3 linked regions of the Drosophila melanogaster genome follow. The main gene of each other region encodes a partner of the protein of the gene in region 3 in a complex. Each region holds a gene or a part of one and is shown on either strand. Other genes may lie near its edges. The genes, in order: thoc5, thoc7 and thoc6.

Evidence for each region.
Region 1: thoc6 (region 3) and thoc5 share a complex: the UniProt entries of both Drosophila melanogaster proteins name them as parts of the THO complex.
Region 2: thoc6 (region 3) and thoc7 share a complex: the UniProt entries of both Drosophila melanogaster proteins name them as parts of the THO complex.

What each region holds. Positions count from the first base shown.
Region 1 is NT_033778.4:23,952,171-23,957,420, reverse strand, and holds thoc5 (thoc5), read right to left. Parts: upstream 3,331-5,250; 5' UTR 3,258-3,330; coding exon 3,183-3,257; intron 3,123-3,182; coding exon 2,328-3,122; intron 2,274-2,327; coding exon 2,161-2,273; intron 2,103-2,160; coding exon 2,015-2,102; intron 1,962-2,014; coding exon 1,425-1,961; intron 1,369-1,424; coding exon 1,126-1,368; 3' UTR 1,015-1,125; downstream 1-1,014. Other genes in the region: CG16787 (uncharacterized protein), read left to right, coding at 239-1,000; CG3803 (uncharacterized protein), read left to right, coding at 3,506-3,598, 3,680-3,782, 3,840-3,972, 4,031-4,883; Stoml2 (stomatin like 2), read right to left, coding at 4,987-5,250. UniProt on the Drosophila melanogaster protein: The THO complex is required for cell proliferation and for proper export of heat-shock mRNAs under heat stress.
Region 2 is NT_037436.4:210,720-214,622, forward strand, and holds thoc7 (thoc7), read right to left. Parts: upstream 1,969-3,903; coding exon 1,899-1,968; intron 1,841-1,898; coding exon 1,726-1,840; intron 1,661-1,725; coding exon 979-1,660; 3' UTR 917-978; downstream 1-916. Other genes in the region: Prp4k (Pre-mRNA processing factor 4 kinase), read right to left, coding at 1-19, 96-500, 573-589; Dis3l2 (Dis3 like 3'-5' exoribonuclease 2), read left to right, coding at 2,031-2,065, 2,125-3,257, 3,313-3,903. UniProt on the Drosophila melanogaster protein: The THO complex is required for cell proliferation and for proper export of heat-shock mRNAs under heat stress.
Region 3 is NT_037436.4:12,190,196-12,195,980, forward strand, and holds thoc6 (thoc6), read right to left. Parts: upstream 3,494-5,785; 5' UTR 3,409-3,493; coding exon 3,296-3,408; intron 3,241-3,295; coding exon 2,301-3,240; 3' UTR 2,299-2,300; exon of another isoform or gene 2,234-2,298; coding exon of another isoform or gene 1,986-2,233; 3' UTR 1,930-1,985; coding exon of another isoform or gene 543-1,929; 3' UTR 501-542; downstream 1-500. Other genes in the region: Est-6 (esterase 6), read left to right, coding at 1-50, 102-349; Est-P (esterase P), read left to right, coding at 543-1,929, 1,986-2,233. UniProt on the Drosophila melanogaster protein: The THO complex is required for cell proliferation and for proper export of heat-shock mRNAs under heat stress.

The sequences.
Region 1 (5,250 bases), on a different chromosome or scaffold from region 3:
ATTGGGACATTACACACAGTCTGGCCACACTGCAGCCCAACGACCATATGATTTTTGCCGAGTATTTTATTTCCAAATGTTGTTACCTAAACACGAGCACGTCAAATTCCTGAGGGCCGCAAACGAAAAATAGCCAGGATCTAAGTTCAATTTGAATGGTGTGATCTGCAGACGAGGCAGATCTGAATCGAGGAAACCCAGTTCCGGTGAAGGAAGTAGCACACAAAGTCCTTGCAAGATGTTGCGAAATTTCGGGATTTCATCAATAAGAAGGAGCAGCTGGATGGCCAACTGGTGCTCCAAGGAGCGGGCGTGGGCGTCCGCCATGCGGCTAAGTGCGTCTGCGCCGGCGAAGTGTCCACAAAAGTTGTTAAACAGCCATGCCGCCAATAACCTCCAGCAAAGTCGAAGGGCCTACGAGAGCACCAAAGCGGAGAGGCTGCCCGGGAACCCTAAGGAGAACGAGCGTAAGCCCGAGGACCTGGATAGAGCCTACGAGGTTCTGAGGACCACGCTACCAAAGCTGTTCGTGGAGCCCCTAGACTACTCCATTTACAGCCCGGGCCTAATCTTCCACAACAACATAACGGGCAAGCACACGGTGGGCCTGTACCACTACGTCAAACAGATCGCCATCCTGCGAACGGTTGGCCACCTGAAGTACGCCTACGTGAAATTCGAGGTGCTCAAGATCACGAAGCACCAGGACGACTACACAGTGCGGATAAGGTGGCGAGTGCGCGGCATTTCCGGCCTGAAGGTCATGTTCCAGTTCTGGAAGTACAAGCTCTGGCAACTGAAGGAGGTGCTGAAGGATCAGGAGGCCTGGTACGACGGCTACTCTGTCTGCTATCTGGGCGACGATGGGCTGATCGTCAAGCACGTCGTGGACAAAGTGATGCCGGACGAGAGTCGGGAGGCGGTTGAGAACCCTTCTGCGACGGCACTACCTCCCGGATCCTTGGCAGCGACCTCTTCCCAGAAGATCAACTGCCAATGAAGTCGTAGCTAGCTAGCTTTAAATGTTACTTATTTATTGTATTACTAATCGTAATAAACGCAACTGTGAGAACGTTTAGTAACCGCATTGGCGCATTGTGTTGTACAACATTCGTTATTCAACTGTCACTGCTTGAACGCGTAGACCGATCCCTTCTTGATGTATTTGTAGGGGCGTGAGCGGCTCCGCTTGGCGAAGGCGCTTATGTAAGGCTTCTCCTTGTTGTACTCAATGGTGTTTTGCATGGATCCCTCGGTTTCGAGGAATATATCGAAGCTGTAGATGGTGCGGAAGAGCTGCGCGTACAGGATGCAGTCGTTGGGCTCCAAATGTTTGGGCTGCAGGGAGTTGGTCCAGAACTCCATCATCTGAGGAATACAAGTTTAAAAGCTAATTGGAGGATAATACCTGAATAAGTTCAAACCTTGATCGCCGAATTGTTTTGCGCGGTAAGGCATCCGTTCCAGTGCACATTCAGAATCCATAGAGGCATTTCCAGTGGATAGTTACTCGGTATTCTAATAAAGCACTCCATTTTGGCCGATCCCCGGACGATGACAGCGCGGTAAGAGTTGTACGTAATACCCTTGTCCGCTGACGAAGAATTCAGTGCGTCTGAAATTTGCGAGTGAAGCTCCTCATGTGTGATGGCAGTCCATTGGACGAGACTGCACGACAGGCCGGCTGGATAGATGTTCTCCTGCAAGCTATACAAATCGATATCCTTGAAGGTCAGCCCGCGAATCTGCTGGCTTAAACGCTGCCAAGAGTTCAAGCGCCTGGCAATGCGGTCAATAATCTCCTTGTTGTTCTTATTCAAGTTCAGTTCGTGTTTGTACAGCATCGAACTGTTGACGGTTGCAATCGAGCACATACTTTGCAGCCAACAGAAGGGTTTTCCGTAGTCCTTGGCCTTGAGGTAGCGCACACATTCCTCGGCTGTTAAATCCGAGCTTCGTAGCTGAAAGAGCGTAATTTAATTGGTTGTCCAACGTTGGATAAGGAAGTTCTTACCTCGTATTGGATTCCCGGAATGGGTAATTCATTGCCCAAGTCATTGGGGTACAAATGCCGCAATAGGTGGTGAACAAAGTTTGTGTCACTGTGAAAAAATGCCTAGTTATTTATGCGATTTTTTCCTAGGTGTGTTCCAAACTTACCCCTGGCCGTTGGCATTCCTGGAGCAGTTAAGTTGGCCCCAGACAGTGGCACACTTGATAAAATCAAAGTAGCGAATCTGCAAAACGAGCTGATTCGATCCAGCCGCTCCAATCTTTAAAGTTTAGGTTAATAAATGTTTTGGAATGAGCAAACCATGTCATCCTACCGTCAAACAAATGTGTAGTGGGTGAGGAGCGAGTGAGTCGTCCAAGTTGTTTTTATCGGCAATCTTTTCCCGGTCTCCACTTTCCTTTTTAGTCTGTCTGTAGTTCAATGTGGAGCACTTTTTCTCCTTAAGCAACTCCTGCATTTGAGCCTCGCTCTCATAGCCAACCACCTCGGCGGTGAAGGACTGCTCCTCGCTGACCCGCTGCAGCGATTGCAGGACAATGAACAAAACGTAGAGCGGCTTGGGCAGGTACTTGACCACTGCGCTTAGCTTCCATTCCACGTCCAGGGATAGCTGGAGTGCATCGTGCAGCGGCTTTGTGGCGCTCTGCAGAGTGCGCAAGGCGGGTGCGAAGGAGACGTACCGCTGGGCGTGGCTAAGATTGTCCTGGAGCAGTTCCTGCTTGGAGCTCAGCAGGGCGCTGTACTGCTTGTCGAGTGCCTTCCGCAGACGCAGCTCGCAGTCGAGGCGATGAAGGTGCTGCTTGTGGCTGGACAGCTCCTCCGCGTCGTTGGGCATGTCTGGCAGCTCGCTGGAGTACTCGGCTTCCGAGAGCAGCTCCAAGCTGGTGTCCCTGCTCTTGAACTTCTGGCAGCGCACAATCTCCTTCTTCAGGTGGCTCACTTCGTACAGAAGATTCTGCAGCTGCAGCCGGCTGAGGTCCACCTTGCACTTTTCCAGGTGCAGCTTGTCGCGCCCCGCTTTGATCTTGTGCTTCACCTCGCGGTTGGCGTGCTTCAGAGCCACGAACATCAAGGTGGTGGCAATGCGAGCCTCATCCGTCGATTGCCCCTGCTCGTGACGGATGTGGACGGATTTAGAGCTGTACTCTGGCACGGAAATCGGACTTACCTTGCTCTTCGCCTCCTTAATTCCCTCTATGGCCTTTTGCAGCTGATCGAACTGCGTGTTCAATATTGTTTCCATTTTATTTGGCGAAATTGTAAATCAGAAGCCGCAAAAGTTGTTTTTATTAACAAAACTGATATAATGTGGCCAGGCTATCGAGTCGATAACATTCGCCGGTACTTTTCAAAATGATTTTAGTATATGCGCATACCCCACTGCTGCGGTCACACTTGGTAGCGGCTTTGTAAATATAGTTAAAAAACAAAATATATCCTTTAATATTTGCTGTAAGCTTAAGTTAATCTCTCCAAACTTGAAATAACACAATGCTGCGATTGCTCCAGAAGAGAACCAATCTCATAAAGCTAGTAGTACCCGGCCCCCGACTTCACCAGACGATTGCGCAAACAGCGATAAAGGTTGCATTAATATCCCACTGATTACATATAAAAATATGTTTTTATTTATAAAGTAATATTTGTTAATGCCGCACCTTTCAGGAAATCCCAGTGATAAAGCCCATCAGCACTCCGAAAAGCGACAAGACCGTCGGAAGATGGTTCCTGGGAGTCAGCGGCATGGTCTTCGTGGCCGTTGGTCTAGGTAACCAATAACAAAATGTAAAGTTTGTAGTTCCTTGCGAAAGTGAATCTCTTCCAGGCGGAGTAACCCGACTGACAGAGTCCGGACTGTCCATGGTCACTTGGAAGCTGACGGGTGAACGTATGCCCCGAACCCAGGAGGAATGGGTGCAGGAGTTCAATCTCTACCAGCAATACCCAGAGTACAAGCTGTGAGTACTCCCCAGATTCATCCAACGCCAGGAACTACATGCAAACTTCTGCTTTCAGAAAGAATGTGAATATGACCGTGGAGGAGTTCAAGTTCATTTTCATGATGGAGTACATGCACAGGATGTGGGGTCGTGCCATCGGCGGGTTCTTCCTTTTGCCCGCTGTTTACTTCTGGAGAAAGGGATACTTCTGTGCGAAGACCAAGAAGAGCGTCCTGCTGCTGGGCACACTGATTGGCCTGCAAGGTCTGATGGGATGGTACATGGTCAAGTCCGGGCTGGAAGACAGGTTCCAGGATCCCAACGACGTGCCACGGGTATCCCAGTATAGATTGGCCTCCCACCTGGCAGCTGCCTTCGTCCTGTACTCACTCTCCCTGTCAAAGGCCATGTCCCTGCTCATCCCCACGAACACATTCGTGATCCAAGCCAAGAAAGCATTTAATATCAAGGGGCTGACGCATTTGACGAAGGCAATGGTCCTGCTGACTGCCATTTCTGGAGCCTTTGTAGCCGGACTAGACGCCGGACTCGTGTACAACTCGTTCCCGAAGATGGGCGACAAGTGGATTCCCGATGACATGTGGACGTTTGCGCCCATACAGAAGAACATCACCGAGAATCCGACGACGGTGCAGTTCAATCACCGCATCCTTGGTATTAGCACAGTAACGCTGACCACCGCTCTGTGGCTGGTCACCAGAAGGATGCAGTTGCCCAAGCGCGCCAACTGGGCCATCAACGCCGTGGTGGCTATGGCCTGGACGCAGGCCACGCTTGGCGTAACCACCTTGCTTAACTACGTGCCCGTGCCTCTGGCAACGGCCCACCAGTCGGGCTCGCTTATTCTGCTGAGTTTCGCATTGTGGCTGTCGCACGAGGTTCGACTGTTGAAGTACCTTCCGAAGTAAATAAATAGGCGTTTATTTGTTGAACCAAAAATTTAATATCCTCGCCTTGATAATAACAACTATGAGTGGGGCAAATGTAATAGCAACAACCGTTTATTCATTCCTATTCAATATTCATTTTCACACTGCTTTTATCCTCCTGCAACTCCTTGTACTCAACACTCTTTGCGTTCAGGCAGGCGCCCACACCCTTCACGTTTTCCGATGACTTGGTGGCCTGGTTAGAGTTGGAAACGTGGTTGTACACCGCCAGGGCCTGGGCCACGAAGCCATTAACATCCCCGGGATTCGAGGGCAAGATCATGGTGTTATTCGTCTTGGCCAGCTTCTTGAAGGCTCCAATGTACTGCTCGGCCAGCGTGAGCGA
Region 2 (3,903 bases), about 12 Mb from region 3:
ACTGGCGGCATCGGCGGGCCTAAAATCAAGAAAGATAAGTGCGAACACCATATGAATTACGAAATCGCTCCCCTATTTTATTCCACAATACTTACACATCGCTTTCGCTGCTTGAACTGGCCACCTCCAGGACAGGCAGCATCTTATTCTGAATAGTTTTGGTGATTTCTTCAACAAGGCTGCTCGGATCCGTCGGAAGCAGGGGTTTGCCGACACGGAAATCGGCTCCATTCCGGCTGGCCTTCTGCATGATTTCTGTGAACTTGCTGCTCAGCCCGCAATTTTGTGATAGCTTTAACTTTGCGTTTTCCGGGGCGTCCGATTCGTTTGTGGATTCGCTTGTTCGGTGGGGGCGCTTTTTTGCCTTCTTCTGCTTCTTGTGGACATGCCTGTCCTTCTCGGTCTTGCCAGTCGAGGATTTTTTATGTTTTTTGTGCTTTTTAGCCTTTTTGTGCTTGGCCCGACGCTCTTCGGTCTCGCTGTTGTTGCTGGAGTCGTAGCTATTCGGTACAAGAGGGGAGCAGCCCAGGTCAATACACACACGTGCGGTCGGCTTAGTAAAATTAACCTACCTTTTGTCGTCAGCCATTATTTGATTGTTTAACAATGTAAACTGCAGATGCGCGCACACTGTGCGTTCATAAGGTGTGCGGTAATTCTGCAGATGGCTAATGAAACTTGTAATTTTCCTCTTATTGTATTCTTCCTCTTCGTAGCTTTTTTAGTGTGACTGCACGCCGGACAAAAGTAAATACGTTTTAAAAATACCTCCTGGGATTTCGGAATTATTTCTAGTATATATGCAAGTAAAATAAAAATATATTAAAATTAAATTTTATAACCCTTAAATATCGTCTTTGGCGCAAGTCTAAATTGGAAATAAAAACGAAGGAATTTCGAAACAACAGTTGAATTTGTATATTATAGTTCATGACATTTTATTTTTTTGTTTTTATTGTACATGCTAGCGCTTCTAACCTAATTGGCAACAGCTACATCCACGTCGTGCTCATCTTTGTCGATGCTTAGCTCAAGCACCGTGTCCTCTTCTACGGACATGGCTTTAGAGTCCTCAGTAGAGACTGAGTGATATTTGGGCTCGCCGCGGGCTCCGTCGAACTTTGTGGGAGTGCTATTGTTGAGATCGTCGTCTTCATCGCTTACCTCCATGATCCCATTGTCGTCTAGGTCCGGCTCAGAGCGGGCATCGCAATCGCTGGACGAGGAGGATGCCGAGGATGAGCTGTCCTGGTCCAGCTGCTGTTCCAGCTCGTGAATCGTGTACATCAGCAAAGTGAAGTCATTGCGTCGTTTCTGAAACTTGCGCTCCATCTTTAGCTTCTTTTGCACCAAGTCGTCAATCTCCCTCCTAATGGTCTCAATATGTCGCTGTGTTTCACTGCGGTCCGGTTGGTCCTGGATGAGCGAGGCCAGCAGGTCGTACTCCATCTTGTTCTTGCGAATCTGCTTGGCAGTGATTAGCTCTTTTTTACTGGATTCGATTTCCGCTTTAGCCAAAACAATACTTTCTTCGTGGTGTTCAACTAGTTGTGTGTAGTTGTCACGCTCACCGGCGATCATCTGCAGAGTTTGTACATTCTTTAACGCAGTGAGCTTGCACTGGGCGAATTGGGCCATCAGTCGGTCGTACATGATGGGACTGTAATTCGGAAAAGAGGAGATATGTACACCATGTTTTGAATACACACATATCCAATTTCTTACTTGCTGTCCAGCGAGTCACTGGCCCACTTCAAGAACTGTTTCAGCAACACTACTATTCTCCGATCCTCTCCAGTTCCATCCCCGTCAATCAGCAGGCGCTGCTTTATGATTTCTTCTGGAAGATCAGTTTAAATATCTATTCCCAAATGCGAAAATAAACAAAAACAACTTACCGTCATTCATCTCCACTAATTTCCGAACTAGCGTATCGGAGTGTGGCCGAAGCTGACACTGCTCCGACATACCACGCAGTACGGTCCTACTGTACTTGTCCTATCATTTTAATTTGGAGAAAGTATTGAATTATGCCTTACCCTTTATATCCCGCCCATAGCCAAGTGTAGTGCCGTACACTTTCGGACATCAGCGAATCCCATTAACTAAGTGCACTTCTTGCAGAATGTCGGAAACGTCAAGCGTCAACGTGGATGCGGACCGAGATTGCAGAAGGATTGAGGGCCTCCGACAGCGCTCACAACGCCTTGCTGCCCGCCTCCAGCAGATGCAGAGGGAAATGGAGTCTAATGCATCCAGCAAAGACCTATCGGCCAACAATGCCGTTATTCCGCTGCAGCCACTAATGCGCTGGGCGGAACCACGGCCACATCCCAACCAATCCCAACCATCTGCTCGGAGCAACAGCAGGCAGGCCATTCCTTACGGTGTGCCAGTATCCACGCCAGCGCCGGTAGCTATGCAATTGCCCTACCACGTAGCATTCGCCTCCTACCAGGCGACCATGCAGATTCCCTGCCTTCAGCCACTTTCGCATTTGCACGTCGTGTCTAGTCCCAGCCATCGGTTAATAGCGAAAAAGAAGTCGAAGCGGGCTCTTCGAAATGAGGTGGAAGCTCTTCAGGATATGGTCAAACATCTTTCACACCTCTCCCCAGATGTTAACGCGTATGCCTGCCAGCTGATACGTAAAAACGAGATCCTTTCTCAGCTCGAGTGGAGTCAGACCAGGTCAGAAGCACATCCGCAACAGGTTGGTTACCAGGGGCGGCATCGCCACGATTCTGAGGTCTCTGCTACAAACAATGGAAGTCATGTACAGCAGCAACCGAAACTAGGACGAAGGCAACGCAATAGCAAGAAAAACGATGGATCCGGTAGCAATGGGACCCAATCGCAAAAAACCGAACTAGAGGCCATGCGGTCGTACATAAACAAGATTGTCCAACGTCACGTGGGTATGGATCACCAGTTGTCGGAAGACTTGATTTTCAAAGGTAACTTCTCCGACCTGGAAGCGCATGCGCAGAGACTAGTTGCGGCGGGTTATGGGCGCATTGTAGAAGAGGAAATCCGGGTTAACCGCAAGAACAACAGACAGGCCTTTATAATCATGTCCACTGATCGAGAAGCACTCGAACGAGATGGCATCGTGCTCTTGCCAGTGGCTAGGCGCTATGCCTTCGATGGTGACAAAGTACGTGCATTCGTGCTAAACCCTGGTGCTCAGGGTAGTTCAAAGACAGCTGAGCCCTCGTCTGGTGAAATCTCTGGTGGGAAGCCCTCATTATCTCTTGGTAAGTTTATCGGCAAACTTATAATACTTTCGACTGATGATAATATCCTATAAAGCGGATGGTGAGGAGCTTTCGGACGATACCGAGTCCCAGGGCTCTGAGTCCGATACCGACAACGTGGTCGTGATATCGTCGGACAACTGCCCTAAAGCGTTCGTCATAGCAATAACTAAACGAACTGAGCTCCGCCAGATCGTGGGAACCATATCGTTTACGAACCCAACCAAACTCTGTGACGACCAGCTATTCTACAAATTCCGACCGTACGATTTGCGTGTCCCCATGGTCTACGTTCCGAAGGATGCCTGTGCCGCCCACATCGGAAACAAGCAGCAAATAGACGTGTCCGGCCTCTTATACCTTGCCCATATACTCGAGACAGATTGCAATGGGCACTGCATCGCTGAACTAATCCAGCCGGTTGGCCGCGTGGGTAATTTGGATGACGAACTTAAGGCAATTCTGTTTCATAACGGTCTCCGGGATATAAAGCCATTTGAGCAACGATTTATCGACATTTACTCCCAGCCGCCACCTCCGATAAGCCAAGAGGATCTGCGTCAACGAAAAGACTTAAGAAAGATGTGCATATTTACTATAGATCCGATGACTGCTCGCGATTTGGATGACGCCGTTTCTATAGAGA
Region 3 (5,785 bases):
CGAAAAAGGAATCGCACAGGTCCTGGCCAATCGAACCGATTATGATTTTGGTAAGGAAATCGTACTTTTAAATGGACTTAGTTAAATCATTACTTTTATAGGAACTGTACACGGTGACGACTACTTTTTGATATTCGAAAATTTCGTACGAGATGTGGAAATGCGTCCGGATGAGCAGATAATTTCGAGAAATTTTATCAATATGCTGGCAGATTTTGCTTCGAGTGATAATGGCTCTCTAAAATATGGTGAATGCGATTTCAAAGATAATGTAGGTAGTGAGAAATTCCAATTATTAGCTATTTATATTGATGGCTGCCAGAATAGGCAGCATGTGGAATTTCCGTAAGTTACATGAATAAAATCAAAAATTTTTCGTTCTGTGTAATTTTTAATTATTTAATTATTCTCAACTGGCTTTAAATATCATTTGTACAAAACGTGTTTGTCGCTTTATATTTTGGTTTTTGTTGTTTCTTTATAAAGAATAATAAACGTTTGTTTACCCGCAGTTTGATTAGTACTTTGTGGAGTTCCAGATCATGAGTATATTCAAACGGCTGTTGTGCCTGACTTTGCTGTGGATAGCAGCTTTAGAATCTGAAGCTGATCCCTTGATTGTTGAGATAACAAATGGAAAAATCCGTGGCAAAGATAATGGGTTGTACTACAGCTACGAATCGATTCCCAATGCCGAGCATCCAACTGGTGCCCTCCGTTTTGAAGCACCTCAGCCGTATAGTCATCATTGGACTGATGTTTTCAATGCCACGCAGTCTCCAGTTGAGTGCATGCAGTGGAATCAGTTTATAAACGAAAACAATAAGCTGATGGGTGATGAGGATTGCTTAACGGTAAGCATCTATAAGCCAAAGAAACCCAATCGGAGCAGCTTTCCTGTCGTAGTACTCCTGCATGGAGGTGCTTTCATGTTCGGTAGTGGATCCATATATGGACACGACTCCATTATGCGTGAGGGAACTTTGCTTGTGGTAAAAATAAGTTTTGGTCTTGGACCATTGGGTTTTGCAAGTACCGGCGATAGACACTTGCCGGGAAACTATGGTCTAAAGGATCAACGTCTGGCCCTACAATGGATCAAGAAGAACATTGCTCACTTTGGTGGAATGCCAGATAATATTGTGCTCATTGGTCACTCTGCAGGCGGTGCTTCGGCTCATTTGCAGCTGTTGCACGAGGATTTCAAACATTTGGCCAAAGGAGCGATTTCGGTGAGCGGCAATGCATTGGATCCTTGGGTCATACAGCAGGGTGGACGACGACGTGCATTTGAACTGGGTCGTATTGTCGGTTGTGGACACACAAATGTCTCCGCAGAACTCAAGGACTGCTTGAAGTCTAAGCCGGCTAGCGATATAGTCTCTGCTGTCCGAAGCTTCCTTGTGTTTTCCTATGTACCCTTCAGTGCTTTTGGACCTGTTGTGGAGCCGTCAGATGCACCAGACGCCTTTCTAACCGAGGACCCAAGAGCAGTGATTAAGAGCGGGAAGTTTGCCCAAGTCCCTTGGGCTGTGACGTACACCACTGAGGACGGGGGATACAACGCTGCTCAGCTGTTGGAAAGAAACAAATTAACTGGCGAGAGTTGGATTGACCTACTCAATGATCGATGGTTTGATTGGGCACCATACTTGCTCTTCTATCGGGACGCCAAGAAAACCATCAAAGATATGGATGATCTTTCATTTGATCTCAGGCAGCAGTATCTAGCAGATCGGCGATTCAGTGTGGAAAGTTATTGGAACGTGCAGCGAATGTTTACTGATGTTCTTTTCAAGAATAGCGTGCCAAGTGCAATAGATCTTCACCGAAAGTATGGCAAAAGTCCGGTTTATTCTTTTGTCTACGATAATCCTACCGATTCCGGAGTGGGTCAATTGCTTTCCAATCGAACAGATGTACATTTTGGTGGGTACATACTTGCGTTTCAAATACTTAAAGCTCTAGCTTTCTTATTATTAAAGGTACTGTCCACGGAGATGACTTTTTCTTGATTTTCAATACAGCTGCATACCGTACCGGCATTCGTCCGGATGAAGAAGTTATTTCAAAAAAGTTTATAGGTATGCTGGAGGATTTCGCACTCAACGATAAGGGAACATTAACATTTGGAGAATGTAATTTCCAAAATAATGTGAACAGCAAGGAATATCAAGTGCTGCGTATTTCACGAAACGCTTGTAAAAACGAGGAATATGCTCGGTTTCCCTAAGGAATAAATGCATTTAAAAAATGTAAACAGTATAATAATGTAATTAAAGAACAAATTTATTACACCTTTATGCCGCCTCAACTGTCAGAGGTTTTTCAATAAGTTCGTCTTCTTCTTCTGGGTCGTTTTCCTCGCCCTCCACATTCCCATACATCTCAATCTTGCTGTCGAGGAAGCGAAAATCCTTGAGGATATGCAACTTGTTGCTGAAACCAGCAATGGAAATGAATTTAATGGGCGATGTTTGCCAAACAGCAGAGTAGCAGGCAGTGTGCTCCACGGGAATATTGGCTTGCAGTACTCCATTTAGAGTGTAGGATTGCACATGATTGTGCTCTCCACCGATTAAGACACAATCGTCCACAAAGTCACATAGATGCACGCGTCCGGGGAAGCTAAAGACACATGTGCTTTCCATGGAACGCAGGTGGAAAATTGAAGCTTTGGGTCCACCACCGCAGAGCAGCCAATCCTCGTTGACAGCCACTGCTCCTATCCATTTGCCCCAATCCGGACGTAACAGATTTGGGTTCTTGTAAGGCTCCAGCATTGAAGTGTGCTGCTGCTGCTTGGTGCTCCACACTCGCACAGTGCCATCCTCGGCGCCAGAGAAGATCTGTCCGTTGGCATTGCCCACCACACTGTGCACGTAGTCTGTGTGTCCGCGGTACTCGCGCTGAATTCGTCCGTCCTCCAAACTCACTTGGTAGATCACTCCGTCGCCACAGCCAGCAAACAGGATGCTATTTTCCGAGTCCAGCCACATGGAGTTCACATCCGGCACTTCGACGGCATCCACTTGCATGGGTATCTTTACCTCCCAGGACCGTTTGGTGGCCAGAGATTCCTCCTCCTCGTTCCATTCCAATCCGTAAATAAGACCCACTGCACCAACTATCAAGAAATCGCGATGGAAGGCCAGGTAATTGATGTCCACATCGCTGCCCTGCGGGAAGATCTTCAGTTTGCCAGGTGGCTCCTCGGAACCCTTGTCCAGTTCTTTTATTCTTCAAAATAGAAAAACAATTAGTTGGGAAATTGCGCCAAATTAAGGATTCTCACCTAAGTACGAAAATGTCGCCAAAGAGATTTCCCGCAAATAGGTACTGTTTAGAGCCGGATATAGCCTGTGCTAGGACATTGTTGTAAGCGCGTTTCAGATCCTTTTGTTTCATATTTTTAGCTAATTTAATTAATTTAACCAAATTGTATCGCTTTGTTTACGCCGGCTCTCTAGAGTGACCGTTCCTGAGCAATATACCAAGAACAGTATATTATTTTTGAAAAATATACCTAAAAGTGCGTTAGTATATTACGTAGCATTCACGTTACGTTCAATTACGTTAACCGTTAGCCAACGTAACGTGGATTTTGAATTTACGAAATAACCTGTTTTCAATCATTCGACATTCTTTTGATTTTGAGGAAATACAATTGAAAACCAATTGTAATTGCAATTGCATGAGCAAAATCGTTCGCCGGAGATTGCAATTCGATTTCCTCATAAAAAATTTCATTCTCCATGTGTCTGCCACAAATTATCGTGTGTGTCAGAAGTAAGAGTGCTCTCCGTAAATGTTTATTTACGATTAATCTCATTAATTGTAAACTGGACAGCGGCCTAAAATCGGAATTTCAGCTTTAATCAGACATGAAGTTCGATGGCATTCAGCTAATTAAATATTTTTTTTTGCATTGTCACAGTGAGAGCCGATATTTAAGAAAGTCTGAGACCTTTCAGACAGGTGAAATACTAGTTGAGTTGACTAATCGCCTTAAAATATGGATTTGTAAACCCATCATGACGTTTAATATTTGACTCCATCCATTCAATTCATGACTTAATAAATTGGATTAACGTGAATCATCAGATGATGATGGAAAAGTCTTCAATATGACGTCAATTTTTGGGGAGATCTTTAAAGTTGAAGAGCGTGCTCGTACCCATGTTTGCCTATAAACAAATGCTGATTGCCCACTTATGATTGGAAAACAATAATAGGCAGCTTGAAATTAAATGGCTATCAACATCAGGTTTCCGTTGTTTACCAATCAAACATAACATAATTTACCTGATCTTTTATTTACCTTATAAATTCTACGATGCTATGGCTTCATCAAAAATTCCATGTTGATGATTAAGAAATACAATACAATATTTTCTACATTAAAATTGATCTAGTCGATGTTACACATAAAATGAAGACTATTGAAATTAAATGTTTCCCATTTAATAAAATACTCTTCCCCTATTAAATATTAAGATTAATACAGAAGTCATGTATTAGCCTAATACAAATTCTAATGTGTGTTGTTGATACACATTTTTCAGCCTGTTGTTCTCGGCCGTTCTAATCGTTCTAATTTATATGCAAATACCTATGGCTTATTAATGTCGAGACAGTCGATTTGAAATTAATTATTTTGGCGCCACAGAGCTGTTCGAACTGTCGCAGCATAATTCACATACTTGAACAAAAAAAAAAAAAAAAAAAACATCGAAAATTCCCCAATTCCCATTAAGGCCCAGAACTTTTGTGGAACTTCTCGTTGGGCGTTTGAAATGCGGTTTTCCGGCTTAATCAATGCCTTATCATATCGAGTTTTTATTTTTAAACGACTGTAGCTGCGCTTCATTTGGCATCATATTAATGGCATGCAAATTTAATTTGACAACTTGACGTATCATGCCAATTTGAAACGAGATTCCAAGACGATTTGCTTTTTTTGACGACTTTCTTAGGTTTTTATTGGACCATTTGGATTGGCATTTCGCACGTGTTTTTTTTTTCTGGGAATTCCAATGTGCTCGGAACCGAAAACAGATACATTTTCAAGTCTGGCTTACTGGCGCCAAAAAGTTTCTTTCAATTTGAGTAACGGCTATCGAGCGATCAAGCGATCAAGCGATCAAGCGATCAAACGATCATCTTTCTTTCTTTTTTCACCCCGACTAATGATAAATGCCTTTGATGAATTTTAGCCAAATTTTGTTTGCTACACAACAGCTCATGATGTAGTCATGGGAGTTTGTTTTTGTGTGGCCCAGTATTTGGTTGTATTTTGGGAAATCCCCAAGAGCCATAAATTTCTTCTAAGCGGCTCTTTCTTCTTTCTATCTAGCTTATTTTTGTTTGCCATACCTCGCTTCCCCTTCGCGAATTAAATTAGATCCAACCGGATCTAGTTTGTCCAAATCTCTCTGGGTCTTTTGGTCCCTCGAGAAGATCGTTAGCCCTCGGGAGGAAATGGAATCGCGCCGGAGGGAGTGGAACTTTTACTGCCTGGCGAAAAGTGGTATGGCGACTACTGGTTCTACGCCGTTGCATATTAAAAACTCATTCGGCGGCGGGGTTTTAAACATTAATTATTATTTCTTTTTTTTTTTGAAAACGAAACAAATGGTGTTAGCTGACGTCAACGGCCGATTTGATGTGCCCATTTCGATACGGCAGCCAAAGATGTTGGTCAATGCACTCAACATGCGCCCAATTAGACACCAGATCGATCCAAAATTCGGCTTTCTACCTATGATATATCCACGATTCGGAA